Linked DNA regions of Cricetulus griseus. The protein of the gene in region 1 interacts with the protein of each later gene in a biochemical or structural test. Links are inferred from orthologs where the notes say so. Each region holds a gene or a part of one and is shown on either strand. Other genes may lie near its edges.

Region 1 (15,164 bases):
ATGCGAAATCCTCCTGCCTCAGCTTGCTGAGCAGCGGGGATCAGGGCCCTCTACTACCTACCAGGCCTGACTCAGCTTGTCCTCACGCTCCTCTCCCAATCCTGACAGGCCGCCCTGACATGAAAACAGACCTCTTCTCCAGTTCATGCCCAGGAGGAATCATGCTGAAAGAGACAGGCCAGGGTTACCAGCGCTTTCTCCTCTACAGTGAGTGGGGGTACAAGGCAGGAGGTGCCCTGCCCCAGGGAAACTAAGAGGCTTAAGGGCCTCCTCCCTTTCAGGGCAGGGTGGGCATCTTCACCAGGTCCTTTGGGAATGGGGAGGGGAGGCAGGGCTGAGAGACAGGAATGCTGACTGGCCTGGCTGCTCCCTGTCCTTCCAGACCGATCACCACACCCTCCAGAGAAGTGTGTGGTGGAATTCCAGTCTCTGACCTCCTGCTTGGACTTCAAAGCCTTCTTAGTGACTCCCAGGCATCAAGGTGAGGGGTTGAAGTCTCCCAAGTCTTCTGTGGGGATTGTAGAGCTAGCTCAGCACAATGTCAGCAGAGCCCGTGGCCAAAGGCAGGCACCTTCAGGATGGGAACATTGGTCCCTCTAATTTTCACAGGCTAGAGTGGTACCAGAAGGACTTGGCGAAGAGCTGTGGAGTCACCAAGCACTGCTCTGGGTGACTCGAAAGAGGCTTTTTTGGGGGTGCTGGAGAGATGGCTCAGCAGTGAGAGCACTTCCAGAGATCCTGAGTTCAATTCCCAGCAACCACGTGATGGCTCACAACCATCTATAGTGGGATGTGATGCCCTCCTCTGGCATAAAGGTGTACATGCAGATAGAGTACTCATACATAAGATAAATAAATCTTTTTAAAAAAGAGGCTTTGGTTAGAAGTGGTGGCACACACCTATAATCTCAGCACTCAGTGGCAGAGGTGGAAGAATCGCCACAAGTTTGAAGCCAACCTGGTCTACACAGTGAGTTTCAGGACAGCTAGGGCTATGTAGTGAGTCTGTCTCTCAAAAATAAAAAATAAAAATAGGAAAAAGATAGGTGTCTGAGTCTCTATAACAGTGGTCACTCAAGACCTGACCCCCAGCCATGGAAAGATTTTGTTGCTGTTTCCTCACTGTGACTTTGCTACTGTTGTGAATCATAATGTAAGCATCTGACACACAGGGTATCTCTGCTATTCGACCTGTGGCGCGGTCGTTCAGTCCCCTCAGAGAGGGTCACACCCCTTAGGCTGAGAACCACTGCTTTAGGAGACCAAAGGGAGGGAAGAGAGGGGTCTCTATTACCAGGAACTGGGCTAAATTTCCATCCTCTACTCTCTCCCTCTCCCGTCACAGAGGCCTGCCCGATGTCCAGCAAGTGACGCTAACCTCCTCTGTGTCCTCGACAGCCAAGTGGGCGCTGAGCTGCAAGGGAGATGCTGGAGACCCTCTGCTCCCTCTCAAGGATAATAAAGACGGTTTTTCAATCCTCATCTCCTGGGTTTCTCCTCAAAGTCACTTCTGCATGTTGACACGCCCCTCTCCCACCTGACACCCCAGCTGCTGGCCACCAGGAAGGACTCTGCACACAGCACCTCTCACATTGTACTGGTGTATTTAGGATTTAGTGTTGCACATTTATTGCTGAGTGACAGGCGCTGTGCTGCCCCCCCCCCCAGAGCCCTTCCGAACTGGTCCTCTCACCAATACGGCCTGTACCATCCCTGTCTCTTCTGGATCCCACTGAGTACCAGACCCTCCCCGCAGGAACCACAACCCCTGTAGCCTCTTCTAGAATCCCAGTAACTCCCACTTCACAGCCCCACCAGATGGCTCTGGTCGGTCCTAGGATCCAAGGGACAGCATGGTCTCCCTGTCACCTCTTCATGCAGAGTTCTCTGCCCTGCCTCTGGCCTTGTCCACCCCCGGGGGCTAGAAAGGACCCCTTGGCCTTCATTCTCCACCATCACTTTTATTTTATTTTGCTCTTAAAAAGTGGAGGTGGGGGGAAAATTGGAGGTGGTGATTTAAAAAAAAAAAAAAGGTGGATAAATGTAAAAGGAAATAACAACAGCTGGTGATTCAAGCGCTGATGCCCCATTGTCCATTACTGGACACCCTAAAAGCCCCGTCTGTCACTCGCAGGACAGGGCTCCTGTGCCTTCGTGATCCTGAGTCTCCCCCCATCCCTGAGGTCAGTGTGCTTACAATCTGGGTTTCTCCACCTTCCTCCTAAAGGCCACACCGCTATCTTCACCCTTTGCCCCGGACCTCACCCAGTCACAGCACCCTTCCTGGACCTTCCCTAGGCTCCCTGACCTCCTGCCCCTGCCCCTCACTCTCCCAGTCAGCGGTCTCCTCATCCTCACTGGGTCCCTGGAGGCTGACAGCCAGCACCAGCGCCTGCAGGAGGCCAAAGAGGCAGGCGAAATGCAGGGTGTGTGCGGTGAGCAGGCTCAGCACAGCGTGGAGCCCATGCAGGGCCGCCAGGAAACACAGCAGCCCGTGCAGCCACAGGCCCACAGGGCCTCGAAGGCCCAAAGCGTCCAAGACAGCTCGAAGGGGCCTGGAGCACAGAGCCAGCAGGGCCGAGGCCAGCAGCTCCAGCAGGTGCAGGGTCAGGTTGGTGGAGATGTGCAGATACTCCTCTGGGTCCCGCAGGTAATTTGAGGGCTCCCCCGGGCCCCCCCGAAGCCAGCGCAGCAATTTCTGACGTCGACCAGGTTTCTCCAATACGGCTTCTGGTCCGGCGGTGCCAGCTCCCCCGTGGGGGGGCCCGCCATGGTTCTTCGCGCCACCTGAATCCAGCTTGGGAATGGGTCCTCCAGTCTCCAGTCTTGAAGGCTCTTGAGCGCTAGAGACAGTCTTGTCCCTCTCGAAGGAATCCTTTCTTTTGCCTCCTGGATGGTCCACTTGGTCCTCCCTGTTCGTCCCCGGGGCAGCCCCAGGGGTCCTCGGTTTCCCTGCATCCTTGGTCTTGGGAGGCCCCGCATCTCCCATTGTCTCCGGGGCACTGTCCCAGTCGCTGCCCGAATTCTCGGGGGAGCTGTCCACCCATCTGGTTTCTGGGGCAGGCAATTCAGCCTTTGTTGATTTCCTGCGGCCCCAAGGTCGAGGTAGCCAGCTGCCAAGTCTTCGCAGGAACATGCCTGAACTGTGTGACGAGCCCCTCCAAATCTGCCACCACTTCCTGACTGCGTAAGATGCTCCTGGGGAACTATCTCCTCAGAAGCCGGAATTGTTCCGGTTCGGAACAGGTATCGGCTTGGTGATGTCGTCCTAGTCTGAATTCAGAAAGCTCACATAGCCCCAAGTGTGGTAAATGGCCCGCTTCCTTGTCAGTTTAGGGGAGAAGAAATCCATCTGCCACCCCACACACTCACAAGACTTCCAGGGCCTTATAAGGCCAGGGTCACCCCCACAATGTCCTGTGTTTTCAGATTTCCTTCCCAAGCAGTCAGCACCCTAAGTTTCACTCACCAAGGCCACACCCCAAGGTGCCCCAAAACAGGGGGGAGGTGGTGCTCCATCGCAGAAGGAAGGAAGGTGGCCCAGAGTCCTCGGTCCTGAATTTGAGGGGCCTCTGCCCCTCTGCCCGCGGGAGCTCAGGGAGCAGGAAGTCCCGGGAGAGAGGAAGGCGGGATGGAAGTGTCCGGCGAGCTGCAGCCAGTTGCACGCATTCCTTAACTTAGGAGGCCACCGCTCCACCAAGCGGCCCCACTGTCCCGCGCGGGCGCAGCCGAGACGCACGCGGCCTCCGCAAGGTCACACCAGAGACGTCCTTGGGGATGGCAGCCCCGAGGCACAGGGCAGGCCTACCTGGGGACCCAGGGTCCGGGCACAACGCCGGGGCCCAGCGTCCGGGGAGCGGCCTCCCGGAGGCGTGCGAGCCCGAGCCCGGAAGCAGCTGTACCGGGTCGGGAGGGCCCGGCGGGGGCGGAGCCCCGCAGCCAGGGAGGCGGACCCGGCAGAACGACCTCCCCCGAAGCCCCCGCGATGCACGATGCACGAGCGCACGAGCGCAGGCGTAGACGGGATCGGCTAAGCCAGACCCTGAATGCCAGCCCAGTTCTGCTCTTCTCCGCCCACCTCCGCCCGTGCTTCCGTGCTTGGCTTTTTGTTTGGGATTTTGGTTGTTTTAAAAGACACGGTCATCCCTATATAGGTAGCTCAGGAAAGGCCTGGGCATGTGTAGCCCAGGCTGGCTTTGAATTGGTCCTTTGCCTCGGCTTCCCTACTGTTCTTCTGCACACCCCCGGCCATTCCTGGTCCAGAAAGGTAACTATCAGGAGACGCGTGACCTAAGCAGCTGCCCTTTGCCCTTCCTGACCGGGACTTGTAAGCTTTCGTGTTCCTAGCACTTGGTATGAGCATTCCAAGTGGGTGTGGGTGCCAAGTAGGGAATAAAAATGTAACAAAACGTGCTGCCTGTTTTCAGGGTGTGAAATGGGGTCCCAGGGCTGCCTGTGTTAGGACTAAGGATGTAACTCATACCTGCGCTTGCGTAGCAGATCCGAAGCCCTAGGTTACATCCCCTACTCTGCAAAACCGGCTGTGGAGGTTCACAGTTCAATTTTGACATTCCAGAGGTAGTTGGATCTACATAACAAGTTTGAGGCCAGCAAATTGAGACTGTCTCAAAACAAAAAAAGGAAAAGATCATCTTCAACTTTGTATTTGGGAGGTCAGAGCTCTGGTCCCAGCTAGGATGTCATACAGGTTGGATAATGTTAGGTCACACTGGCCATTCCTGCAGGACTCGACTTCCCTGTCACCAGGGTATTACATTTAATCACAACTGGCCTCCTCAGGGAGTTCAGAACTTGAAGGTTTATTTTCAGCATATAGCAAACTTGGTTTGTGACAAACATCACTGAATCGACTAGATTGGCCCAGAGATCTATTGAAGGGGAGTCTGCACAGAACCGGGGAATTCCTAGCTCAGGGGGGTTCCAAAGAACAGATATTTGCAGCCAGCAATGATAGGGGTTCTCTGTCACCTGGAGAGCTTGCCCTTTATGGCTTGGGTGAGGCTTCCATGTGACTCAGATTTTCTCCAGTGCTCTACAATATCATGCAAGAAAGTAAACAAACCATAATGAAGGAAGTTTATTTATCTCTCAACTCTCAGCCCTTCTCTCTAGAAACAGAGGCCAAGTGCCAAAACCTGAGGGTCTGGTATCTGGGCAGATCCCAGGAAGTACAAGTTCAAGTGCCCATGTCAGGGGTCCAAGTCCAGCAAGTAACAACAGGCTGGACCGAACCAGTCATAATTCAAGGTTCATGTACAGTCTCAGATTTCGCTCCCAGGCTCTGTCCTTCTCTTCTCTCTTTCTGTTCTCCCTCTGACTTAGTGTGGCGACTCGAGGTACTCTTTCTCTCCCAGACACAGCCCGGGTATCCCGAGCTGGGAAATGTGTGACTCGGGGTTGGGGTGCAGGTCTATAGCCCAGTCCTTCCTGGTCCTGCTTGAGGATAGTGGGAATAGGGTTGGCACGGCCTTCACCCCGGGGTCCTAGGCCCATTCCTGGTTCCCAGCCACCCCTCAACAGCAGCCTGAAGCCAGGACTGGAGGTGGGCACCCCAAGGGGAAGGTTGGAGGGATGGGGACTCCTAGACAGTGACAGCAGGTGAGCAGTTGATGTGCGGTGGTTGGAGTCTTCAAAGTGGGCACCACAGTCCTCGCAGAACTGGGAGGCGGTGGGGGGAGACCTGCAGAGAAAGAAAGAAAAGTTACAGGGAAGGGAAGAGAAGGGAGACAACGGAAGCCAAGGCTGTTCAGGCACCTGGTGGAGCAGGGTGGCACACTTCATGCCTTACTTCTAATTTTAGCATCATCTTTTTGCTTTTTTCCGAGACAGGGTTTCTCTGTGTAGCTTTGGAGCCTATCCTGGCACTTGCTCTGTAGACCAGGCTGGCCTCAAACTCACAGAGACCCGCCTGCCTCTACCTCCCGAGTGCTGGGATTAAAGGCATGCGCCACCAACGCCCGGCTTAGCATCATTTTTGTTTTATCTTGCGTTGGATAGGCACCCCGGGGTCTTCGAAGTGTTAGCCAAGTGTTCCACTGCCAAGCTATACCAGCCCCTCTCCATCTGTGCAGAGGGACCATTTGGGATACCGTGAGGTGGACCTCAGCTCTTAGGAATAATGAGTAGAGCTAAAGCTTATTTTTTTTTTTTTTTTGCGGGGGAGGTTGAGACAGGGTTTCTCTGTAGCTTTGGAGGCTGTCCTGGAACTCACTCTGTAGACCAGGCTGGTCTTGAACTCAACAGAGATCCGCCTGCCTCTGCCTGCCGAGTGCTGGGACTAAAGGCGTGCGCCATCACCGTGTGGCGAGCTGATGCTTATGACCACACTATGTGACAGCCACTGTTCCATCACTTTCCACATTAACCTGCTGCATCTTAACGACTGCGAGACAGGTGCTTATCCCCACTTCTCAGACAAGGAGAGGTTTACAGACATTAGGCTGACGTTGCAAGAAAACGAAGCCAAGATTTAGTGAGCAAAGACCATGGCCATTGTCGCTCTGTGACAGGAACTAGCTACACTGGAGGATGAAGAGCCCCCGAATGGGGTGTCCAGGAAAGGCAGAACACAATAAAGGTGGGTATGAGCTAGCGCTCCCTCCTCACCGGCTCTGGTTCTCGGGGCTCCTTGTCTCTCCACGGCTCTCTCTGACCATGCGGGCCACCTCAGGGAAGCCCGCTTCTTCGGCCAGCTGAGCAGCATCTCTGCCTCCCAGCTCACAGACTCCTACCCAGGCAGCACCCCGGTCCAGAAGATAGCACACGGCAGCCGCTTGGCCTGCTCTGGCGGCGCACATCAGGGGAGTCCACCAGAAGGCATCGCGTGCATTGATGTTCCCTCCAGCTCCCCCTGCCTCCCGGGGTTCCAGCAGCCTTCGAAGTTCTGTCAGATCCCCGTTCTGGGCTGCCAGCAGGATCCACTGGGTCATCCTGTCGTCATCCTCTGGTGGCAGTGGCCTTCCTTGCCCCGAGGCTCCTGCTGCCACCGCCGCAGCCTCCCTGGTCCCTCTCCTTTTCCTCCTCTTTTGTCCTCTGACAGGGCCAGCTCTCTGGGGCTTAGGGGAGCTACTCTCATCTGCAATTAGAGCCTCGTAGAAAGCCCGGGCTGCGGCCCCATCCAGGACTGGCCCTGGCTTCTCAGGCTGTGGTTGCTGCTGCCCATCTTTCCAGAGGTCGCTGGAGTCGGTGGCTGGAGTAAATGCGATGAGGGACGGCCTGGACATGGCTTTGGGGAGAAACGAGGAAAGAAGGCTGGGAAAGGCTGTGATGAACACTCCAACCCGATGTAATGACCAGCACCACCCCCAGGGCCTGCTGGGATGAGAAAGCCGCCTAGAACTAAAACAGACCTCTCACTCCCCGACCCTAGGATCTTGTAGACCCCTGGAATGGCAGATGCTGAACAGATGTTAATTAAGTATCATGAGGGCATGGTAGATTAGGTTCTTTGTAGAATGCTCGCCTCGAATTTGGGAGGTCTGGGTTCTATCTCTACAACAGGAAAGAAAAAAAAAATGATAATAGGAAAGAATGTTCCCCCAGGCACTTGTCTAGGGGCCCTGCGTTCTACTCCCTTCTCCCTTCAAACAAAAACAGCAGGCTGTCTCTGAAAACCTTTTCCCACCCTGTAACACATACCGTTAGGGAATATCGGCCGGGACTTTTAAATCTTGCTCGATCTTACGTGGGGCTGGGGGGGGGTGTCTCCTTTTCCCAAAGAAAAACAGGCGTGACATCATTCCAGAAGGTGTCGGGGTAAAAGCGTTGCACTGTCACTTCCGTACCGAAAAATGGCGCTCTCGTCATCTGCAAGAGTTGACACAATCCGACACCCACCTGGCACAGAGACGCATGCGCAGCAGCCAACCACAACAAAACACCCACAAGGTTCAGTTTCCCGCGCTGGAACCTTCCCAAGCATCCGCGTCAGGCATCGCGTGCCCAGACAGCGCGAGGGCCCAGGGGGACCTGTCGGTTGGGGTCCTACTTTTACATAACGCCCCCACAATGCTCTTCGCCACCCTCGACGTGGTCCCTCCCGCTCCAAGCCCCTCTTGTGGAGCCGGGAGGCCTGAGGACGCCAGGGAGCCGCGGGATGCCGGGCAGCCGCGAGACGCGCTAACACCACGGCGCCCCTCACCGCTACTCCGAGCAGGGCTCGAAGAGCAAGCAGCTCACGTGGGGTCCGCAGCAGCAGCAGCAGCAGCAACAGCAGCAGCAGCAGCAAGCAGCAGCAACACATGGAGAAGTGCAAAGGGATGAGCGGCAGAATGGCAGGCGCCACCTCAGGTTAGCGCGCGGGGCGGTGCAGCAGGTCCCCCGCCCCCGCCGCCCGGCTCGGCAGCCCAAGCCCTGCGACCTCAGCCCCGCACTCCGAGCCGCACCTCCGGGCCGCATGCCTGGTCCTCGGCGACGGTGTCAGTCCCCGGGGCGGCAGGGACGACCGGAGCGGGACGGAGCGGGCGCGCAGCGGGGACCTCAGCGGCCGCCGGCGCCGGCTCGCAGCCTGCCGAGCCCAAAGCGCGTAGGACTATATTTCCCAGGCTTCCCGGTCGGGAAGGCGGCTGTAACCTGGCTTCCGCTTCCGGTGGAGGCTCGGCTCGCCCCGCCCCCAGGCGGCTTCCGCTAGGGCCTCGCGACCCCGGAGTCATGCGCGCGGACTCTTGGGATTGGTGGTTCGCCGTCCCCGCATCGCGTCACTTTCTGCCTCTCTACGGGACTCCATTTCCCGGCGTCCCTAGGGGCAGGGGCGGTCCTCGGCGCCTGCGCGTTGCCCTCTCTCCCTCCCCACCCTCCCCAGTTCCCCTTCCCCCCTCCCCACTTCGCCTGCCGCGGTCCGCTCGGCTTCCTGCGCTGTAGCGGTCGCTGCGGTTCCTTCGAAGCTCGGCTCCCCTTCCCCGCCCCAGTCCCAGTCCCCGTCCGGCCGGTGAGTCTGCGCTCGTCCCCGCGCCGCGGCGCCGGGCTCCGCGCTCCGAGATGTGGGGGCGAGGAAGGAAGGGACCGGGTCGGCGGCCGAAGGAGGCCGGGTGGCCTGAGGAGAGGAGCGGCTGTGGGGACGCTCGTGGGTCCCGCGGGGGTGCGGGGCTCCCGCCGGCGCCGCGAGGCCCCGAGAGGCGGGCTCGGGGGGGAGGATGGACTCGGGAAGCCTCGGGACGGGCGCCAGGCGAGTGCCTCGGTGGGGCCGCGCGGGCCGCGCGCGGCCGGGGGCCGGGGGGCCGGGGGGCCGGGGCCTGGCCTCGCGCCGGGCAACACCCACAGATCGGGACCTGTCACCCCCTGGGAAGGAGTGGAGCTGGTTCTCACCACGCTGTCGGGGGGCTGAGGTAAAGAAGAGAGGCGTGGAGAGCGGTGCTTCACGGGCCGGGGCCACTCAACGCCAGTGGCCTCGGATTCCTCCGCCGTTGAGGAGACCGTGTGTGTGGGAGGAGGGAAGAGACCAAGAAACAGCCTGGTCTCCACTTAACGCCCTTCTTCCTCAGCCGACGTAAAGATGAGTAGCTCTGAGGAGGTTTCCTGGATTTCCTGGTTCTGTGGGCTCCGTGGTAATGAGTTCTTCTGTGAGGTGAGTTTAGCTGGCTTTCTGGGCCCTCTCCACGTGCCCTCGGTGTTTTCGTTGTATGTTGTCTGAGATGAGATTTCCCCCGAAGCTGACTGTGTAGCCCAGACTGTCCTTGAACTCCTGGCAATCCTAGTGCCTCAGTCTCCTGAGCGCTGGGGTTCACTCTGTGCATGGCTAACAGAGGTATCGCTGGTGACCGTCAGGAAAGTTAAAATGTTTCATGTAACATGAAAACCACAGTGTGGTAACGTAGGAAATGATCAATGCCTGTGAGAGTCTGATGTCCCAGAGCAGAGAGCAAACCCGGGTCCTTTAGAGGAGGGAGACAAGTTGAATAATGCGCTGTACCTTGTTGGCCCGGAAAGAAGAGAGCTGCGGTTTCTGTGGGAGACGGAACACCTCTGCAGAAGTGAGAATAGGAAACAAGGGGAGCCGATGCGGTCGTTTGTCTCCTGGGCCAGGTGAAAGACGGGGCTTCCCACACTAGTTTCAACCTCTTGACTCCCCTGTCCCGGTAGGTGGATGAGGACTACATCCAGGACAAGTTTAATCTGACTGGACTCAATGAGCAAGTGCCTCACTACCGGCAAGCTCTAGACATGATCTTGGACCTGGAGCCTGGTAACGTGCCTGCCCCCAGGGCCGTCGCTGCGTGTGGGGTCCATGATATGTGCACTTGTGTGTGCTTTGGTTTCTTCTTATTCTGGTCTCTGCTCGCTTGCTTCTTGAATTTTTCTCTTTTCTTTTTCGGTTTTTCCAGAAGGGTTTCTCTGGCCTTGAACTCACAGAGATTCACCTGCCTCTACCTCCCGAGTGCTGGTGTTAAATGCATGTGCCACCACTGCCCAACCGCTTCTTGAATTTCTAAATTTCCTTTTGATTCTCTAGCTCTTCTGTCTATTCCCGAGTCTCTTGCTCGCTTGTTTGTTTGTTTATGTGTTTTCTCCCCCACCTCTCCTCTCCATTCATAACCCAAACTGGACTTTACCACTTGCTCTTCCTGCCTTGGCCTCCACGTGCTGGGTTTTGTATGGCACATACACCACTGCCTGGCTTCTTCATTATTTTGATTCCCTACCTGACCCTTGCCTTCAGGGACTGGTAACATTTGTTTCCATGCTCTCCAAATGTAACTCCACTGTCTCTCACAATGCCAGTCTTCTGGTGTGTTGTGTGCTGCTGCTTTCCTCCTGCTGGTCTAGAGTGCCACCCTCTGCAATTATGTTTATGTGTTGGGAAGGGGAAGAAGCTGGCAGAGACTAGAGAGGTGTGGAGAGAGGGCAGTGCTGATGGCCTGGGTGATGGATAGGGTGTGTCAGAAACAGGTGCTGGATAAACTGTAGGAGGCCACCTTGGGGATAAGGTGGGGTACAAGTGGCCATCCCACCTTTCAGATGAAGAGCTGGAAGACAACCCCAACCAGAGTGACCTGATTGAACAGGCAGCGGAGATGCTTTATGGGTTGATCCACGCCCGATACATCCTCACCAACCGAGGCATCGCCCAAATGGTGAGGCTCTGCTCCTGCTTCTGAGGCAGTGAGACAAACAGGTGCATGAGGCAGAAGGCATGTTTCGTACCTGTCAAGAAGTCTAGCAGAGGAGACGAGGAGAAGCCCAGAGCTGGGCTGAGAATCCAATCCTCACTGAGGGTCCTACTGAAGGTATTGTTTTCAGGGAGGGAGATGAGGCCATGGATAGGGAACAGAGAGAGCAAATGGCCCTTGTGTTCTGCAGCCTGCCAACTTGAGGAAAGCAGTTGAGAAGGAAGCTTGAGGACCTGTCTTGACAAAGAAGGGCTTCTAGTTAGAGGTGGGAGGCCTGGGAGGTGGGGAAGTGAGGTGCTCTGCACACGTACTCACCAGTCCCTTCCATTTTGCACACCTCAGTTGGAAAAGTACCAGCAGGGAGACTTTGGCTACTGTCCTCGTGTGTACTGTGAGAACCAGCCAATGCTTCCCATCGGTGAGTGTTGGAGAGGGGAGAGGAGGGCACTACTTGCCAGTCAGGTTGATGTGGTCAGTGCCTGAGCCCTGTGGGAGGGTGGGAGGACTTGGGGTACCTGGTCTTCAGGGTCTGGCTGTGTCCCAGGCCTTTCGGACATCCCAGGCGAGGCCATGGTGAAGCTCTACTGCCCCAAGTGCATGGACGTGTACACACCCAAATCATCAAGGCACCACCACACGGACGGCGCCTACTTCGGCACTGGTTTCCCTCACATGCTCTTCATGGTGCATCCAGAGTACCGGCCCAAACGACCTGCCAACCAGTTTGTACCCAGGTGGGGAGCAAAGACAGCCACAGAGAGTCAGAGAACGATCCGAGATCTTGGGAGAATTGAAAGACAGTCACAGAGAGTCAGAGAATGGTCCAAGATCTTGGGAGAATTGAAAGACAGTCACAGAGAGTCAGAGAACGATACGAGACCTTGGGAGAATTGAGGACAAACAGCCCTTTCTTAAGGCCTGCCTATCCCAAAGTCTGGGCTTTTTCCTGCTGAGTGACTGGGGATCCACCTGAGGCTCATGCCTCTGTTTTCTTACGCGTAGAGCAGGGTTGCAGATGAGAGCTGCTACTTGAACAGTGGCTACTGCTGCTGACATGTTAGATGCTCAACTTTTTGCCAAAATCCTCAGTTTTTGTGGTTCAGTATGGCTTATCGTCCCTATCTTATTTTTGCTGTGTACCAGGGAAGAAAGATTCCATAGCTCCTCAGATTTGGAATTTCCTGTGTGGGATGGGGGTTTAACCCAGGGCCTCCTACCTGCTAAGCACAAACTCTGTTTGAGCTATACTGTCAGTGTGGATTTTTGTTTGGTTGGTTTGGGTGGGGTGTGTGTGTGTGTGTGTGTGAGTGAGTGAGTGAGTGAGTGAGTGAGTGAGTGAGTGAGTGAGTGAGTGAGGATGGGGAGTGTTTGACAAGGTCTTTGTTGGTTGAGTTGGCCTCAAGGGATCCTTCTGCCTCTGCCATAAATGAGACTACAGATCTGCACCACCACTGCCTGGACTGGAATTTGAATTTTAGTGGATGTTTAAGATACATTTTTAAGAGGGCTGGAGAGATGGCTCAGCGGTTGAGAGCACTGGCTGCTCTTCAGGGGCCCTGAGTTCAACTCCCAACAACCACATGGTGGCTCACAACCATCTGTAATGAGATCTGATGCCCTCGAGGAACATGCAGGCAGAGCACTCATATACATAAACCAAAAAAGATACATTTTTAACCTGGGCATGGTGGCACATCCTGGTACTTGGGATGCAGAGACTATTTGAGGCCAGCCTGGTCTACAGAGTTAAGTTCCAGGGCAGCTAGGGCTGTTACACAGAGAAACCCTAACTCAAAAGGGGTGTGTGTGCATTTTCAAGTACTCATGAGGGAAAAAAATCAAGTATTCATGAGCAAGGAAGTTGTCGAACTATTGAGTAGGCATGAGGAGGAGGCTGGGGTAGTGGTGGGCTGCCAGCCACTGGAGGGCCAGAAGGTAGCTCACCCTACTGCCTCTCTGACCTCTGCCCGGCCCAGGCTCTACGGTTTCAAGATTCATCCAATGGCTTACCAGCTGCAGCTCCAAGCCGCCAGCAACTTCAAGAGCCCAGTCAAGACGATTCGCTGACTCCTCGCCCACCCATCCCTCTATCTTTAACACCACCATTCCTTTGCTTCCACCCTTTCAGGAAGTCTATGGTTTTTAGTTTAAATTAAAGGAATAGTTATTGTGGTGGGAACATGAAATAAAAAAGAAAAGGCCGTGAGCTGTCTGCTGGTTCTTGTTGCTGGGGAGGGCTGAGGAAGGGAAGGTGGTGGTGTGCGGGACTCCAGGGATCCTCATAGCTTAGGCCATTGCCCGTGGCTTGGAAACAGCACAGCTTCTTGGATTTGGTAATGTTAGTAGTTAAATATACCAGAGCTGCATTCGGGGTTGGGTAGGGGCAAGTACAGGATTGGAAAGAAAAGACTTCAGAGACTAGAGAAACACCTGGGCTCTGTGGCTGTGTGTGTTTCTACTGTAGGGGCTTCATAAGAAGTACTCTCAGGTTTGCTACTAAAGGAAATGTAACCCTAAAGTAAATAGAACTGCAGGGAAGGCAGACAGCCACAACTGTTGATCTGCTATCTGTGTGTCCATCTGGGAAGGATGGGGGCGCGTCTCTGGCCATCCTCCCCCAACATAATAGGAAGCAAGCCTGTTGTGTAGGTGGACAGCAGGTAGGGCCCAGACGGACGCCAAGCCGTGGCCCTGGAAGTGGGGGTACAAGTCTTCCAGGGCATGTGTAGGATGAAGACACCTGATAAAGATCCAGCCCGAGCTCAGCTGTTGCCCACATGGGAACCAGGCCTTGTGGGTGAGGACACGCCTTCCTGCCAACTGGTAACTTCTTCCAGGTGGGAACACAGCAGTTTCTGCTCAGACTACCTGTCAAAACTGTTCTGCCTCTGAGGATTAAGGGGTGTGATCCCAGGAAGGTGGGGTTTGACGTATTCCACAGGAGCTGTTCCTCTTGCTCAGAATCCCACAATGAAGGCCTGTGTGCTAACCATGGTGTGCTGACCGTGGTGGGCTTTGCAGTGGGCAAAGGTAAGGGCCGAGGCCTGGGAGGAAGGGGAACTGAACTGGGAAGGGTAGGCCCAGGGCCCTGGGTCTGTGTACCAAGCTCCAGTTGCTGATATTCGTACCCGCCACTGCTGGTGCCTCTTGGAAGACCCTTCCATGGGCTTCATTTCTGGTCAGAAAAGTGCACCGTCAGCAGTTCATCCCCTCGTGTGGTTATCACGGTCTACCACAGAAAGTCCATGGAAAGGGCTGCTGGCAGAACAGTGTGGCTTGGTCTTCTCCCTCGTGACGGTTGTTGGGATCTTGGAAGAGGGTGTGTGTGCAGACAAGTGAGTGAATATTTTATTTTTAGCCTCTTCTGAGAGTACATAGGATAAAATCTGGTCTGCATGAATGCTGAAGAAAGTTAGGTTTGGTGGCTGTGGGAAGCTTTTAACAGGGATTACAACTGTCCCCTCCCCTCGGGTGTTCAGATTCACTTCCATGTAGGAAGCTGTGGACAGTACAATTCCTACTGCTGTAAAGAAAAGCACAAATCTCCTGTCTCCCAGGCTACTGGTGTAAGGCTGACTGATGTCAGGACGATTACTGCAACTCTTGGTCCAGTGCCCAGCTCCAGAGTCCTCGCCTGGGCCCCCAAGAAGACGTCTGGCCTTGCCCCTGTCTGAGTCCCAGATATACCAGTTCTACCAGGCCCTGGCAGCCCTGGAGCTGGGTGTGTCCATGGCTGACCTGCGTCTCATACACTTGTCCCCAGCTTAGGACTTGTGCTTCCTCCCCAGACTAGACCCTGGCCCGCTCCCCTTCCCAGATACTGCTCTGCGGCCCTTGAGCACTCTGGGTCCTTGGGTGCCAGTGCTGGCTTGTCTCCCTCCTGTTGCAGAGCCTTAGGTATGGCTTCTGCCCGTGAATGTCCCTGTCCTCACGTGCCCTCAGTCTGGTCACGTGTGACAGCTCTTTATCCTGTCTTATGCCCTGAGCCTCACAGCCAGGCTACCACAGGAAGGGCAAAGGGTGACTTCTGTGCCGATT
Region 2 (15,164 bases), on another chromosome or scaffold:
GTGTGCCACCAACGCCCGCCTCCCATGTCATTCTTATATTCTCAGTTAGATTGATCACCTGTATAACTGTCTGCTTCTTTGTTCCCTTGTTGATAGTCTGTCTTCTAGTTTGTGTTTTTGTTTAAGTCAAGGTTTCTCTATATAACTTTAGCTGCCCTGGAACTCACTACATGCGCCAGGCTAGCCTGAAACTCCCAAGTACTAGGATTAAAGGATGTGTCATTATGTCTAGCTAGTCTTCTTCCACTAGAGTGGAATTTCCATAAGGGCAGGACTCTTCTGTATTTGTTCTTTTCTATTTCTAGTGCCTGACACACAGTAAGAGCATAATAAATGATAACATATTACTATTTTTTAATTCTTATTGGGTTGGGGATGTAGTGTTCTTTGAACTCCTTGGAGCAAGGGCAATGTCTTTATATGGTTCCTACTTCTTAATATAACAAGTACCCAATAGTTTTATTATCAAGTGAATTAAATGAGATAAAATATATACCCAGTGTGTAGAATATTCCCTGCATGCAGTGAATTTAGCTATGTTATTTTTTCTTTGGTGAGTCGATATTATTGATACTATTTTTAGATATTTATTATTTTATGTGTATGGGTGTTTTGCCTGCATGTTATTTGTGTACCATATGTGCAGTGCCCACAGAGGCCATAATACGGCATCAGATCCTCGGCAACTGGTGTTACAAATAGTAACTGCTATGTGGGCCTGGGAATTGAACCCAGGTCCTCTAGAAGAGCAGGTGATGCTCATAACAGCTGAACCATCTCTTCAGTATGTGATTTTTTGTTACTACTATATTCATTTCTTTTTCTAAAGACAGAGATCCTGCTATTTGGCCCAGGTTGGCTCTGTCTCATTCTATAATAAAGGCAGGCTTGGACTTGAAATCTTCTTGAGTGCTTGCTGGTGTTACCGTACCTAATAGTATGAGGGGGACGGTGTTTGTTTGTTTTTGAGGCAGAGTCTCTTGTATCCCAGACTGGTCCCAAACTTTCTAGGTAGCTGAGGAACAGCTGGTCTTTCTGCCTCCACTGGCCTGTTTTGATTACAGGCAAGGCCTATCACACTGAGTTTACATGCTGCTGGGAATCAAATCCAGAGCTCATATATGCTAGACAAGCATCTACATTAAGCTACAATTTAGTCTTTCCTTTTCCCCCCGAGACTGGGTCTCTGTAGTTCAGACTGTTTCAGCCTTCCAAGTACGGGATTGTAGGTGTGAGCCACCACCCTTGGCCTGGTTAGTGATAGTTTGGATAATCTAGATTGTAGGTGTGAGCCATCACCCTTGGCCTGGTTAGTGATAGTTTGGATAAGCTAAAACATTACAGCTAGGGGTGGTGACAAACATGTTTAATCCAAGCACTTTGGAGGCAGAGGCAAGTGGAGCTCTGTGAGTTTGAGGACAGTCTAGTTTACATATCCGAAATCCAGAATCAGGGCTATATAATAAAGGGACTTGTTTCAAAAAAAACTATCATCACCATCATTCTAATACAATTATCCCTCCAAGTCTGTGTGGCATTGATTCTAGGTTCTTTGCAAATACCAAATCTTAGGTTGAGTCCCTTTCATTAAGTGTTGTCATATATAATCCATGCATATCCTCCTGAATTTCTTCTATCATCTCTGGATTATTTAAAGTACCTAATACTATGTAAATATATAAAGTATGATACACATAGTTGTATCTATATTATGCAAATAGTTGTTACACTATGCTGTTTAGGGAATGGTAGCCACAGTAAGTCTGTAACCATTCAGTAAAAATGCAATTTTGTTTGTTTTTGATACAAGGTCTCTGTGTAGTCCTAGCTGTCCTGGAGCTCCCTCTGTAGACCAGGCTGGCCTGGAACTCACAGAGAGCCTCTTGCCTCTGCTTCCCTAGTGCCAGGATTAAAGGCTTGTCCCACTATGCCCATCTAGGACTCCATCTTTTGGGGGTTTGTGTGTGTGTGTGTTTTGTTGTTTTTAATTCAGGGTTTATAGGTTTAGAACTTAGAATATAATTATTTCTCTGGTCTCCAAACTGTTAGTGTTTTACTTTCCACATTCCGTAATCATTTTTAAGGTCATCATCATGTTTGTTCTCCCCGTTCATGGTAGGAAGGAAAAGAAGAGAGATTGGGCTCTCAGGAAAAAGCAACAAAATAGTCATCCTGTGTTCCGCCTTGAAAAATGGTTACAATTACAGGAACTTGGGACAAGGCTGATGCTAAGAAAGGGGAGGGTCGGGAAACCCCATGGGAGTTCGAGTACACACACACACACACACACACACACACACACACACACACACACACACACAGACACAGACACACACACACACACACACACACACACACACACACACACACACACACACACACACACACACACACACACACACACAACACAGAGCCCCTGGCTGGCTGCCTCCAAGCTGGCTTCTCCTCTTAAAACCACATTCATGTTCGGGCACACACACACACACAGACACACACACACACACACACACACACACACACACACACACACACACACAGACACACACACAGACACACACACACACACACACACACACACACACACACACACACACACACACAGCCAGCTCCCTGGCTGGCTGCCTCCAAAGCTGGCCTTCTCCAATCTCTTAAAACCACATTCATGTTCCTTCCTGGATCAGGCTTCCTTTGGCTGGTGCTAACCTGAGTCCTGGAGCAGGCTACTCCTGAGACAGGAAATGCATCCTGTCCCTCTGGTTCCTGGGAAACTCCTAGGCTGGCTAGGTTCCCAGTCAGTTAGTCTGGAAAGTCTGGAATCTTGGGAAAACATTTTCTGGAGTCAGTGTGGTGGATCCCAAGGTGATCTATTCATCTGTTCTTAGTTCTAAGGATTTTTTTGCCACCCAAAGCAGAACTGAGCCTAGAGGAGTTTATGCTCCCAGACCTGGCTCCTGGTACTGTGAGAACAGCATAGGGGGTCATTCTTATTGTCACACAGTATCCTAGTTTGCTTTCTATTGCTGTGATAAAAAGCTTTGACCAAAAGCAACTCGGGGAGAAAAGAGTTTATTTGGCTTACACATCCCAGGTCATAGTTCTTCACTAAGGGAAGTCGGGGAAGGAACTGGTGACAGGAACCTGACGATAGGAACTGAAGCAGAGCCCATAGAGGAATGCTGCTTACTGGCTTGCCCAGCCTGCTTTCTTATACCACCCAGAACCACTTGCCCAGGGATGGCACTGCCCAGCCCCCATCAATCCTTAATTAGGAAAATGTTCCTGCAGGCTTTCCTTCAGGCCAAGGACTTTAGCATGTGTCATGTTGACAAAAAAACTAACCAGCACACCCAGGAATTTAGCCTCTGCTGGGGAGTACATGGGTTTATCTAGAAGGTAAACTGTGTCAGAGTTCCTACTGCTGTCCCCTCCTCCTTTGTGATCTCTACTCTGTTGACTTCCGTGTTCTCTCTACCTTTTGCTTACAGCACTGAAGAGTATGAGTCCCTGGCCTCTGTGGGCCACTCATTCGTAACCACTTCCACCACGGCAGAGCCTTCCAAGCCCACCGCCTGCCGTGTGGTGATCTACCTGCAGCGGGAGATGTCAGGGGACACCTGTCTATGCCCAGCCTCGGGGGCCAAGCCCAAGATAAATGGCTTCAAGGGAGGCGGCCTGGGCAACAAGTACGTGCAGCTCAATGTGGGCGGCTCCCTGTACTACACGACAGTGCGGGCCCTCACCCGGCATGACACTATGCTCAAGGCCATGTTCAGTGGGCGCATGGAGGTGCTGACCGACAAAGAAGGTGAGGCATTGTATCTGGGCATGCTGGGCAAGGGAGGAGAGAAAGGGGCATCCTTCGACGACCTCAGGGCAAGGCTCAGTAGACCCAGAATCTAACTTTTCCACTTCACTTCTTACAAGTCTTAATAGGGCTCCAGAATTCCTTGAAAGTGTACATAGAATGCTGTGTGTTTATGTGTCATCCGGAGGAAAAGTCCAAACTTAAAAAATATTCAGGCTGGGTGTGGCAGCACACATCTGTAACCGTAGCATTTGGCGGTGGGGACAGGAGGATCAGAAATTTGAAGCCAACTTCCATTACATAGTGACTTTGATGCCAGCCTAGGCTACAAACTTTATCTCAATCCAGGAATGCCGGCACAGGCGTGTAATCCCAACACTCAGTTTGAGGCAGTTCAATCTCAAATCTGAGGCTAACCCAGACAATTCAGCAAGACTGTTTCAAAAGGTGACATATGGGCCAGTCATGGTGGCACACACCTCTAATCCCAGCACTCAAAGAGTCAGAGGAAGGTGGATCTCTGTGAGTTCAAAGCCAGCCTGGTCTACAAAGTGTTTTCCAGGACAACCAGGGCTACATAAAAAACCCTGCCTTGAAAAACAAAAAACCATCCAAAAGGCTGAGATATGTATAGGTATCCAAATAAAATCGTCATAAACACAGTAGAGCCTGGGCAGTGGGCAAAAGTAAGCAGAGACTGGTGGTTTCTGTATTACTGGGCTGACCTGAGTTCCCCCAAGCTTAGACATCCAGTCCTGCACAGACCCCTGAAGACCTCTCTCTTCTCGGGGGCACAGAGTTCCTGGACTCAGGATAGGGAAAAGCAGCACCGACCTGAGGCCAAATCTCTGCCACCCCTGGTCTGGGCTCTGCACTCTCTCACGGAGCTCCTTTCCTTGCATCCTGCTGCCTGCTGCCTCTCTTCAGGTGGCGTTTGCCTGAAGGCAAACAGTAAAACACAGCTGGAGGCTAACAGTAATCCTATGGGATCCCTCTAAATTCCTAGGCTGGATCCTCATAGACAGATGTGGGAAGCACTTTGGAACCATCTTGAATTACCTCCGAGATGACACCATCACCCTCCCTCAAAACCGGCAAGAAATCCAGGAATTGATGGCTGAAGCAAAATATTACCTCATTCAGGGGCTAGTGAACATGTGCCAGTCTGCCCTGCAGGTATGGGAAGAATTGGGTGACCTAATGAGGTTGGGAATTGTTCCTCTGGGGACATTAGGTTTGGCTCCTGGAAAGCTGTATTGGAAATGAGGTTGATGAGTCCAAACCCAAATAGAACAATGGGGTGCTCCCAGGCCCGAGCAAACGGCTGCTAGATACTCACATTTGGTAGCACAAGCAGGCTGTGCCCCTAGTTCATTCACTTAGATATCCGAGCTTCATATTTTCTGGCAGTGGAGATCTTACTAACTGGCAATGTCTATTACCAAGAACATCATGGTCCGTCTGGTACCTCCTTACCAGGCAGGGGGTGACTGTGGCAAGGCCTGGAGGGGTACAAGATCCTAAAGGCAGCTCTCTGCTCTGTGTGTCACCCAGGACAAGAAAGACTCCTACCAGCCTGTGTGTAACATCCCCATCATCACATCGCTGAGAGAAGAGGACAGGCTCATCGAATCCTCCACAAAGGTACTGGGCACTCTTAGGACCTTGGTCTGGGGACACCAGGCTCCTGGCCTAACCCTTACTCCATCTTCTCCCACAGCCTGTGGTGAAGCTGCTATACAACAGGAGCAATAACAAGTATTCATACACCAGGTATGGCAGGCATCTCTGCTAGGGCGCTGGGGAGGGCGGCAAATGCAGCCAAAGGGCTGAGCAACCAGAGCAGGCGTGGGCAGTGGCTCAAGGGACTTCACAGATTCCCAACACACGTAACATGGGGCTGGGTTTTGAAACCACCTTTGCTAAGGGCAATGAACAGAGATGGAAGGGAACTCAGGACAGAGGCATTTGGGATTTGTTATATAATCCTGGTTGGGATATAAATGATAAAATGTTAATCATGCCTGTAACGTGCCAGGGATTTTAATCCCCATTGCTTTAGTGGATGAAGAGAGGTGCTAGGAAGTCATGGACGGAGTCTTCCTGAAGCTGGTGTTCCTCACTGTGTCCCCATAACAGGCTATGGTTAGGTAGACCCAGGTGGCTGCAGACATGGATCTAGACTCTCCTGGTCCCCTGTGAACCCTGCATCAGCCCACAGCAAAAGAACAGTATACTGAAGTAACAGAGAGGGGCCCTTCCTTCCACGCTTATGAGGGGTTACTTCTTTCTCTCAGTGCTCTCTGCTGAACCGAGAGCCAGTTCCACCCCCTTTCCTCACAAGCCCCAAGTCCTACAGGTTCCTTTCTGCCTCTCTGTCCCTCTGCCTTGTCTTCACTTTAGCATGATAGGGTAGGGGTGGGCAGAGCAGCGTGGAGAACCAGAATGTCCCGGCAGCCCTGCTTGTTGGAACCTCATTCCAGGCCTGCTGGCCCTTTGGTTTTTTCAGCAACTCTGATGATCACCTGCTGAAAAACATTGAGCTGTTTGACAAGCTGTCCCTGCGATTCAATGGCCGTGTGCTCTTCATCAAGGATGTCATTGGTGATGAAATCTGCTGCTGGTCTTTCTATGGCCAGGGTCGCAAGCTGGCAGAGGTGTGCTGCACCTCCATCGTGTATGCCACAGAGAAGAAGCAGACAAAGGTATGATCTTTCCTCTGATAGGGGACAGATCACACAGACTCCAGGGTTGACGACTGGTATTGCTCCAATGCGCCCTTCCCACAGTAACGAAAGGGCCACGTGTACTTTCCAAACCATGGTATGATGGTGCCAGGTAGGACAGAGTCAGAACAAAGGGGTTTGGGAATGGTCAGAAGCTGTTAACAGTTGCTGAAAAAGAAGCCCACTGACCAGCAACCTTCTGGTGCCATGGAAGGACCAGGTCTTTGAAGTTGTCACAACTCAGGTTGCAGTTCTAGTCCCACCACTTCTAGTTGTCTGACTTTGGGGAGCCATTGGTCTGTTTCCCTGCTTGAAGATATGGGAATGAGTCTGAGTCTAGCCAGTACATGGCAAGGGTACCAAAGCAGCACGGTGTGTAGCTTTCCACTTCAACACTGCTCTTACAGCCAGGCTGGCCAGCTGGCTTCCTGAGCCCATGGAATGACATCACAGATGAGCCAGATGTGCCAGATGAGCACAGGGCAACTTTTATTTTTACTTTTTCTTTTTGAAACAGGGTCACAGAAGCCCAGGCTGGAGCTTGCTATATAACCTAGGTTAGCCACAAACACCTGGCATTCCTCCTGCCTCAGCCCACTAGGACTAGGGTTACAGATATAGTTAACTATAATCAGCTGTGTGAATTACTTGGTAGGGGACAATTTATGTAGATTCATCTCCTCCCTTCCTGAAGAGACCAGCAGGTATCCTCCCTAGAATATATACTTGGAGATGGCAGGGTTTTACTGGGTAAAAAGGGGGAATAAAGGGCGCAAGCATCCAGACCCAAGAGCCTTAGCCCCAGACTGCCACATTGCCTCAGGCTGAGTGATCTGCTGAGGGCTGTCCAAAGGACAGCTTATATGAGGTGGCAGTTCTTGGCAGTGGGGGGTAGAGACAAAGATGGCATGGAGTTAGCCAAGAGGCTGTGAAAGTGGAGTCAGGATTCAGGACCTGAGTAACAGCAGAGGTAGCAGTGCCAGTCTTCTTCCTTGGTGCTCTCTTCCTTCTTCTGTGTGCTCCCCTAACCCTCCACACCCCAGCTAGAAGACTTGCCCAGCTAGAACCTTCTCTCCACTTGAGATGAAGGCACAGCAGCTCAGTGTGACAGATGTGCTACAGTTTTGGGGTCCTGATCTCTTCCCTCAACATTGACCCTAGGGGTGGGGCTTTCTGGGTCAGAGAAGCAGTGGAACTGTTTGTTAGAATTACTTCATTTATTTGTGTGGGTGGGTGATGACAGGACAGCCCAGAGAGTTCTCTCCATTTGGGTTCCACCATTCAGGTCCTGGGATCAAACTCAAGTTGGCAGGATTGGTAGCAAGCACCTTAATCAGCTGAACTATCCTCTCTGTTCCCCCACCCCTTTTTTGAAATGGATTTCACCAGGTGGGCTGGCTGGCTTCAAAGTCTCCATCCTCCTGCCTCAGGTGGCAGGGATTACAGATGGGTAGGTACCACTCAGCCTGGCTAAGCAGCTTTTTTTTTTTTTTTTGGTTTTTTGAGGCAGGGTTTCTCTGTGGTTTTGGAGGCTGTCCTGGGACTAGCTCTTGTAGACCAGGCTGGTCTCGAACTCACAGAGATCCACCTATCTCTGCCTCCTGAATGCTGGCATTAAAGGTGTGCACCACCACCGCCTGGCAGCAGCTGCTTTTTATTATGTATTTGGTTGTTTACTGTGTCAGGCTATTCACTGGGCTAAAGAATGTACGTCTTTCTTTTAATGTTGACAAATCTCAAGAGGTGTTAGCTCAGCTTGGCAGGCATGCCTGGGATCACAGTGCTCAGAAGGCTGAGGTAGGAAGATTCTGAATCTGGGGCAGCTTGGGACATAAGGAGACCCTGTCTCAAAACAAAAGCAAAGAAAGTAGCAATTGACATCACTTTACACACATAGAAACTGCAGCCCAGAAAGCTCAGGCCCAAGACATAGCATCTTGTCCACAGAGTTGTTTGTACCTGTACGTACCCATGATGATAGTCTTTAGTTGTGGATTGGGGTGGGGATGCAGGGTTGCGTTTATCTATATTCTCATGTCCCCTGATGCTTCCCTTGTTAGCCAGGCAGCTACCTGACTTCTAAGTTAGGAGGCTTCATGGAAGAGACAAGGTTCAGAGCCCTAATGTTTCCTCATGAAATGAGACCTCACTCCATCTTGTTCCCTTCTTCCCAGGTGGAATTCCCAGAGGCCCGAATATATGAGGAGACACTCAACGTCCTACTCTATGAGACCCCTCGAGTCCCTGACAATTCCTTGCTGGAGGCCACAAGCCGGAGCCGCAGCCAAGCTTCCCCCAGTGAAGATGAGGATGCCTTTGAACTGCGGGACCGTGTCCGCCGCATTCACGTCAAGCGCTATAGCACTTACGATGACCGGCAACTTGGCCACCAGTCTGCTCATCGAGACTAATGAGACCCTTAGGAAGTCAGAGCACAAGAAGCCATGTCTGCTATCCTGTGGAACATAGCCCACTGGCCATCCTATGCTGCTCCTGCGAGCTGGGAGCCTGCTCTAGCATATAGTGGTGCTGGGCCCTGCTTGGGAGGTCAAGGAGCCCGGCAGAGGAAAGGTCACACTGCCCTACCTGGTCCTGCTCCCCCCATCACTTCCAGATGCCACCCCACTTCCTGCCTGGCAGGGAGCTACTTTAGGGTGAGTGCACTGACTTCCACCTCCTGTGGAGAACATTCCCCAGGCCCTTGGCTTAGTGCCCTTCTCTCTGCTGAAGAGCTCCTTCAGTTCCTCAGCTGAGGCCCATGGGAACAGTTCTGTCCTATGGGAAAGGAGGCTCCTGGTGCTGCAAGGATCCAATTTTGAACAGAAAGAGCAGCCTTCTTTTTTTCTTAAGGTGTTTAAGCATAGGTATGACCTGATTTTTTTTTTTGTTCTTAAATCTAGAAGTTAGCATGGTGGCCTTGCCTATAATCCCAGCTACGGAGAAGCCGAGGCAGGAAAACAAGTTATAGACTAGCCTGGACAACTTGGCAAGATACTGTCTCAATACAAAGTTTTAAAAAGAGGGCTAGTGGCATAGCTTAGTGGTAGAATACTTACCTAGTATGAGTGAGGTCCTGGGTTCAATCCCCAGTACTGCCACACACACAAAGTATCTAGGAAATGACTATTTTCTAGCCTGATGAGGGAGAACCTAGAACTAAGCATTTGTTACCCTGCAGGATGCCAGGACCCCACCTAGGCAGACTCCTCCCCCCCCCCCACACACACACACTACCCCTTTAAATGCCCTAGAACCCATCTTTAAAGCACTTTGTATGTCTGTCATTCAGGAGTCTGGCACATGCTATAATGCCAGCACTCACAGGCTGAGGCAGGAGGATCATACGTTTGAGACCAGTCTGTGCTATGTAGTTAAAATTCTAGGCTAGCCTGGAAGACACTGTCTCAAGAAAAAAGCAAACTGACTAGCTTTGGCTTTGTCAACCTGACTGGGCAGCCCAAAGAACACCAGGAGGGGAAGGATACCCAAGTAGAGCCCATGATTTTAATAGCACCCTATGGGAAAAGATATCTCACCCCCTGTAGGGTCATATCACTGACCCAGACCTAACACAATAGTTTGGTTTGGGTCTCATACTTGGGTATGCTCAGCTCTAAGACATGCTGTCCCCACAGACCATAAAGCCAGAGGCTGTGATGCAGGCCAGAAACACAGCTGCAGCAGAAGGCACATTCTTATAGCCACATGCTGCCAGGAATGCCCACAGATGTGGCCCAGGCTTCGCCATACTTTTGCCCAGCTCCTGACATCATGTCTTGGTTTATGGTTTGGCTCTAGGTAGTGGTTCTGTTTAGTGACGAGTCTCCAAATACATAGTAACCAGGGCAACTTAAGCCTTTTGAAAGGCCTCTATTTCTTTTGGGTCACTTGACCATGGAGGTACCAAGGTCTAGACTGGATGTGAATTATTCCTCTGGGCTTTGGTTTTCCTCCCCTTCTTGCTGGTCCTGGCCCTCCTAACTGGATTCTTTCCAGAGGAATGTTGTCACTGGAGGAAGCTGTTTGCAAGCCTGACAAAGTGTGTGGCCATCAACAGTGCTCAGGACAGAACACAGAATGTCAGCTTCATCCCTTGACCACTCTCATAACTGCCAAACGGCTGCACATAGCTCACGTCTCAGAGCCTATAGGCAGATGCCAGGGTTAGGGTTGGGCTCTCACAAGGCCCTGACATGACATGATAGAGCAAGGGAAACGTGACTTAGTAATCATTTGGTGTTAATCACAGTCTTGAATGTATAAACAGCTCTGAGATGCTCAGGTCAAGCACCTTGGTGATCAGCAGCTACTAGTTCTTCCAGAACTCACTGGAAGTGAGATGACAATCCATTTTTTTGACCAAATTTAGGCTTTAGCTTTGAGGCTTTCCCACAAACTTTGGAATGTTGTTGTATGAGGCCACTGGTCTATTTTCTCAGCTGTCCCCAAGAAGCCCTTTAGTATTCAGAGTCCCAGCTCCATGCTACATATTTCCAGTTTGTTCCTTGACCTCCATATCCCCTTTAGCCTCTCTACTTGGTGCTCTGACACCCGTATCAGTGGTGTCTAGTCCTTGGGCCTGCACAGCAGCAAGAGTCCAGGGCTGGGTATTCATCATCTTTGACTGAAAACATCTCCTTGGTTTAAGGAAAACACTAACTGAAATGATCTGAGCGTTTTTGCTTGGACTGTATGGCTTAGGGATTTGTGGGTTTTCCAGTCCTATTCCTACAGTAGCTCTTGGCAGGATGAATCTACAGGCTCTGTTGAACCTGGGATTGATGTGACTGGTCTACCTAAAGGGTAGCACAGGTTCTGGCATGAAAGACTGTGTCTTTTACTGCATACCTGCAATCCTTGGTTGCTTCCCTTAAGCAATAGAAGTAAACACTAACTTCTAATAAAATTGTGTTACACTGCCATGGAGCTGAGCCATGTTTCTAGTGAGTAGAGCCTGGCCAGCTCACAGCTGTGGGCTCAGTTCTTATTCTGTTCCCTCCATGACCTGTATTCTAGAAGGTCAGAAGACTCATTCCTTTGTTTTCCTACACACCCACACTCCCCCAGGCGGAAGATTAACAACAATACTCACAAGGACTGGAACTGAGATTTAATAATGCAAGAATGAAAGGACCTCTAACAGTGACAAGTGGTGAAGGAACCCTGAGAACTGGGACAAAATGCAGCCCAATTCTGCCTCCTGTTGATCTGACAGAAGCTGGGAAAGCGGCTAGGCTTGGTCACTGTCCATAACTTAAGCTGCTTCTTGGCTGAATTCCTGCACTTGTGGTTTGGGTGTCTGACAGACTTTTGCTCAATGCTCAGAAGCTCACAGCTCCGGGAAACCTGACTGGTTTTGCCTCACTCTTCTCCAGGCCTAGTGAAGCCAGAGATGCTGGTGGCTAATCAGTGTTTACAGTCAGGGGCACTCGAACCCAAAATGCTGGCCTCCTGGCCTCCTCTATACTGGGCGGAAGGTAACGAAGAGACTTGAGAACTTAGTCCAGTGCAGCACAGCCCACTGTTAGCCAGTGTACCCTGGAGATGTCCAGTCTCTGAGGAAGACACACCCTAGCAGACAGAGGCAGCAGCTTCCTAGAAGAGACTTTGCAGGAAAACAGCCAAGAGTTCCCACAGGGTCAACAAGGGAGCCTGAGACCCTAGGGCCAGCATGGCCAAGTGAGCACTGGTTTATTGACCATGGCTCACATTCCAGACAACCCGTGACAACTGAACACAGTTCCCTGACAGCTTTGTTGGAACGTGGTGTAGGCAGGGCCGGGCGGGGCTGACCTTGGAGGAGTCTTAGGTGAGTCTTCCAAGAAAAGTTACAATCTCCCTCCAAACAAAGAATCCCAAAATTAAGAAGCCCATAATAGGGAGAGACTTAGAGTTCTGCAGCAATTATGGGTTAAGAGCTGTTCTGAGGAGCCCAACCTGGGCACTCAAGGACCTCAGCTGGCCTACCAGTGAAGGCCTGAGGGTGGTGTCTTCTCATCTTTATTGCTTTCCAAGGAGAATGGTGGGATCCGGACATCAAAGTGGGAGCCATCGGGTCTCTCAAAACGAAATGTGCCCCTAAGGATCAGAGAAGCCACTTTAAAAGGAGAAAGGGCTGCACTGAAAGCCCTCTTGATCTGTGTGCACCCATGTCCTCTGATCCAGAGCCACAGCGCCCGAGGAAGGTGGCCTTGTCATCTGCCTAGTTCATGGCAGAATAAACAAAGATCCAAGAGCCCAATGTGGCCATGCGCAGAAGCACAACTATTCAGATTCTGCCACTTGGATACGTGCTGTATGAGCAAACCACCTTACTCGAGATTAAGGGGGAAACCCAACTACATGAGCAATTCAGTACAGTCCCAAGTCTTGGGATCTAATTCCTTAGCCCACAAATTGTAAGGAACTCATAGTCATAAAAACCAGATAGTCCCACAGCAATGAATAACACCTGTGTTATTCAGTGTGCCCATCTCAGGACCTCACTCTTGTAAACTGACCCTAAGCTTAGCTTGCTCAGGGTCCTCACTTTGTTATTGTTGGCATGAATGGAAATAGGGTCTCATAAACCTGCCTCAGTCTCCCAAGTGCAGTCTCCCCAGTTCTCACTAGCAGCTGTCTGTGGAGTTGAGCAGAATATACTCCAGCATACACTCACTCACCACATGTGCCCACTGGAAGCTTGCAGGGAGACATGGCTGCTATACTGAAATGCAGGCTGCTCCTTGGATAACACTGGTTCCTAAAAGAATTCAGGCAAAATTGGTCAAGCCAAGGCCCAGAAATACATTCCTTCCATCCTGGGGCTGTCAGATACTGACTGGATGACTCCTCCCACCTATACAGCCACACACACACACCTACAATGACCATCTTTCAGTACTCCTCTCACAGGGTGGGCGGTGCCCTGAGCCTCTCTAGGAAAAACAAACTGGGGGTGGGGGTTTGGGGGGTACTGAGGGAAGGTGCTAGGCAGGCTTTCTCTGAAAACATCTCTCCCTGCATTCACTCACATGAACAAGTGCCAGGCACAACAGCAGGGCTTCTGCCTGCTGAGTTTATTCTCTTGGTGACCATGAAGTACTACATGTAATCCCTACTTTAGCAACAAGAAACAGATGTGGATTATATAATTTGCCCAAGCCAGGCGTGGGGGCACACACTTTTGATCCCAGCACTAGGAAGGCAGAGGCAGATGGATCAAAGTAAGTTCCAGAATAGCCAGGGCTACACAGAGAAACTGGTCTCCAGCAAAAAAAAAAAAAAAAAAAAAAAAAAAAAAAAAAAAAAAAAAATTGCCTCAAAGTTATATTGTATATAGCTGGAATTTGTTTTTCAAAGATGTACCATGTAGCCCAACTTGGCCTCAAACTCACCATAACCCTGCCTCAACTCCCAGGGTACTAGACTACAGATGTGTGCCACATACAGTCCAACCCTGTTTACATTGTTTTCTTTGACCCCATTTTCCCAAGTGTCTTCTAACAGTGGTGCTGGATGACACTAGTACCATTTGTGACTTAATATCTCAAGAGACAGGGTAGGATAGACAGGGAACATAAAATCAAATCTCTTTAAGAAACACTAGATGGGCTGGGCGTTGGTGGCGCACGCCTTTAATTCCAGCACTTGGGAGGCAGAGGCAGGAGGATCTCTGTGAGTTCAAGACCAGTCTGGTCTACAAGAGCCAGTTTCAGGACAGCCTCCAAAGCCACAGAGAAGAAAGAAACACTAGATGAATGGATGAATACAAAAAGAGACATGACACAGTTGGTACATGTCCCAAAATCAGAAAGTGCTTCTTTTGTTTGTTATTGAGGGAAGGTGTTTAATTGTGTGTGTGTGTCTTATATGTGGAAGTCAGAAGATACTTTGAGGGAGTCAGTACACACCTTCCACCATGTGAGTTCCAGGGTTCAAACTCAGGTCAGCAGGCTTGGCATCAAGCACCTTTACTTACTGAGCCATCTTATCAGCCCATATTTTATTTTTCTAACAGGGTCTCATGTAACCCCTGCTGGCTTCACACTTTCTATGTAGCCCAAATATAGCCTTAAATTCTGATCTTTCTGACTCTATTTCCCACAAATTCAGGGTTTTAAAAGACATGCCATCTGAGTATGATATAAGCAGAGTGTTTGCCTAACATGCACAAAGCCTGAGTTTGACCTCAAGTGTTGGAGTACAGTGGAAAGACTAATGAGACATGCTGCTCAACAGTGAGTACTAAGCTTTGGGACTGGAAAGAGCTTGCTGCTCTTGGAGAGGGCCAGGTTTCCAGAGGTATGTGTTTCAAGACAGGAATTTGTGTATCCCAGGCAGTCAAGGATGACCCTAAACTTCCCAAGTCTAAGAATATGGTTACATAAAACCATGCCTAGTCTATGCAGTGCTAGGGTCAAATCCATGATGCCAGGCAGGCACTCTACCAAGAGCTACTTCCCCTATCCCTTATTAATTAGCTTCTAAGTCTCACTCTTCATCTGTGAAACAGGTTACAGACAAGCTACCCCGCAGGGCTGTTGTAAGATTTCTAGTGACAGACAACCCAGTGTGTCACTTTGTCCACAACCAGAGAGGAAGAAAACATACCCAAAGTTCCTAGACCTGCTAGCAGGACCAGAGAGGAAGAA

What was found.
Region 2: the proteins of Csnk2b (region 1) and Tnfaip1 form a complex in vitro, tested with the Homo sapiens proteins (2 studies listed by BioGRID, with this or other methods). The link is inferred for Cricetulus griseus from reciprocal best matches to the Homo sapiens genes CSNK2B and TNFAIP1.

What each region holds. Positions count from the first base shown.
Region 1 is NW_023276806.1:231,639,409-231,654,572, reverse strand, and holds Csnk2b (casein kinase II subunit beta), read left to right. Parts: upstream 1-8,798; 5' UTR 8,799-8,947; intron 8,948-9,500; 5' UTR 9,501-9,511; coding exon 9,512-9,583; intron 9,584-10,098; coding exon 10,099-10,201; intron 10,202-10,974; coding exon 10,975-11,090; intron 11,091-11,468; coding exon 11,469-11,544; intron 11,545-11,670; coding exon 11,671-11,860; intron 11,861-13,102; coding exon 13,103-13,193; 3' UTR 13,194-13,329; downstream 13,330-15,164. Other genes in the region: Apom (apolipoprotein M), read left to right, coding at 109-207, 383-481, 1,346-1,371; CUNH6orf47 (uncharacterized protein C6orf47 homolog), read right to left, coding at 2,270-3,136; Gpank1 (G patch domain and ankyrin repeat-containing protein 1), read right to left, coding at 5,257-5,701, 6,628-7,244. UniProt on the Homo sapiens protein: Regulatory subunit of casein kinase II/CK2.
Region 2 is NC_048600.1:91,910,310-91,925,473, reverse strand, and holds the end of Tnfaip1 (BTB/POZ domain-containing adapter for CUL3-mediated RhoA degradation protein 2), read left to right. Parts: intron 1-3,485; 5' UTR 3,486-3,600; coding exon 3,601-3,805; intron 3,806-4,811; coding exon 4,812-4,981; intron 4,982-5,359; coding exon 5,360-5,449; intron 5,450-5,525; coding exon 5,526-5,578; intron 5,579-6,314; coding exon 6,315-6,510; intron 6,511-8,705; coding exon 8,706-8,942; 3' UTR 8,943-11,455; downstream 11,456-15,164. Other genes in the region: Poldip2 (polymerase delta-interacting protein 2), read right to left, coding at 12,495-12,609, 13,194-13,273. UniProt on the Homo sapiens protein: Substrate-specific adapter of a BCR (BTB-CUL3-RBX1) E3 ubiquitin-protein ligase complex involved in regulation of cytoskeleton structure.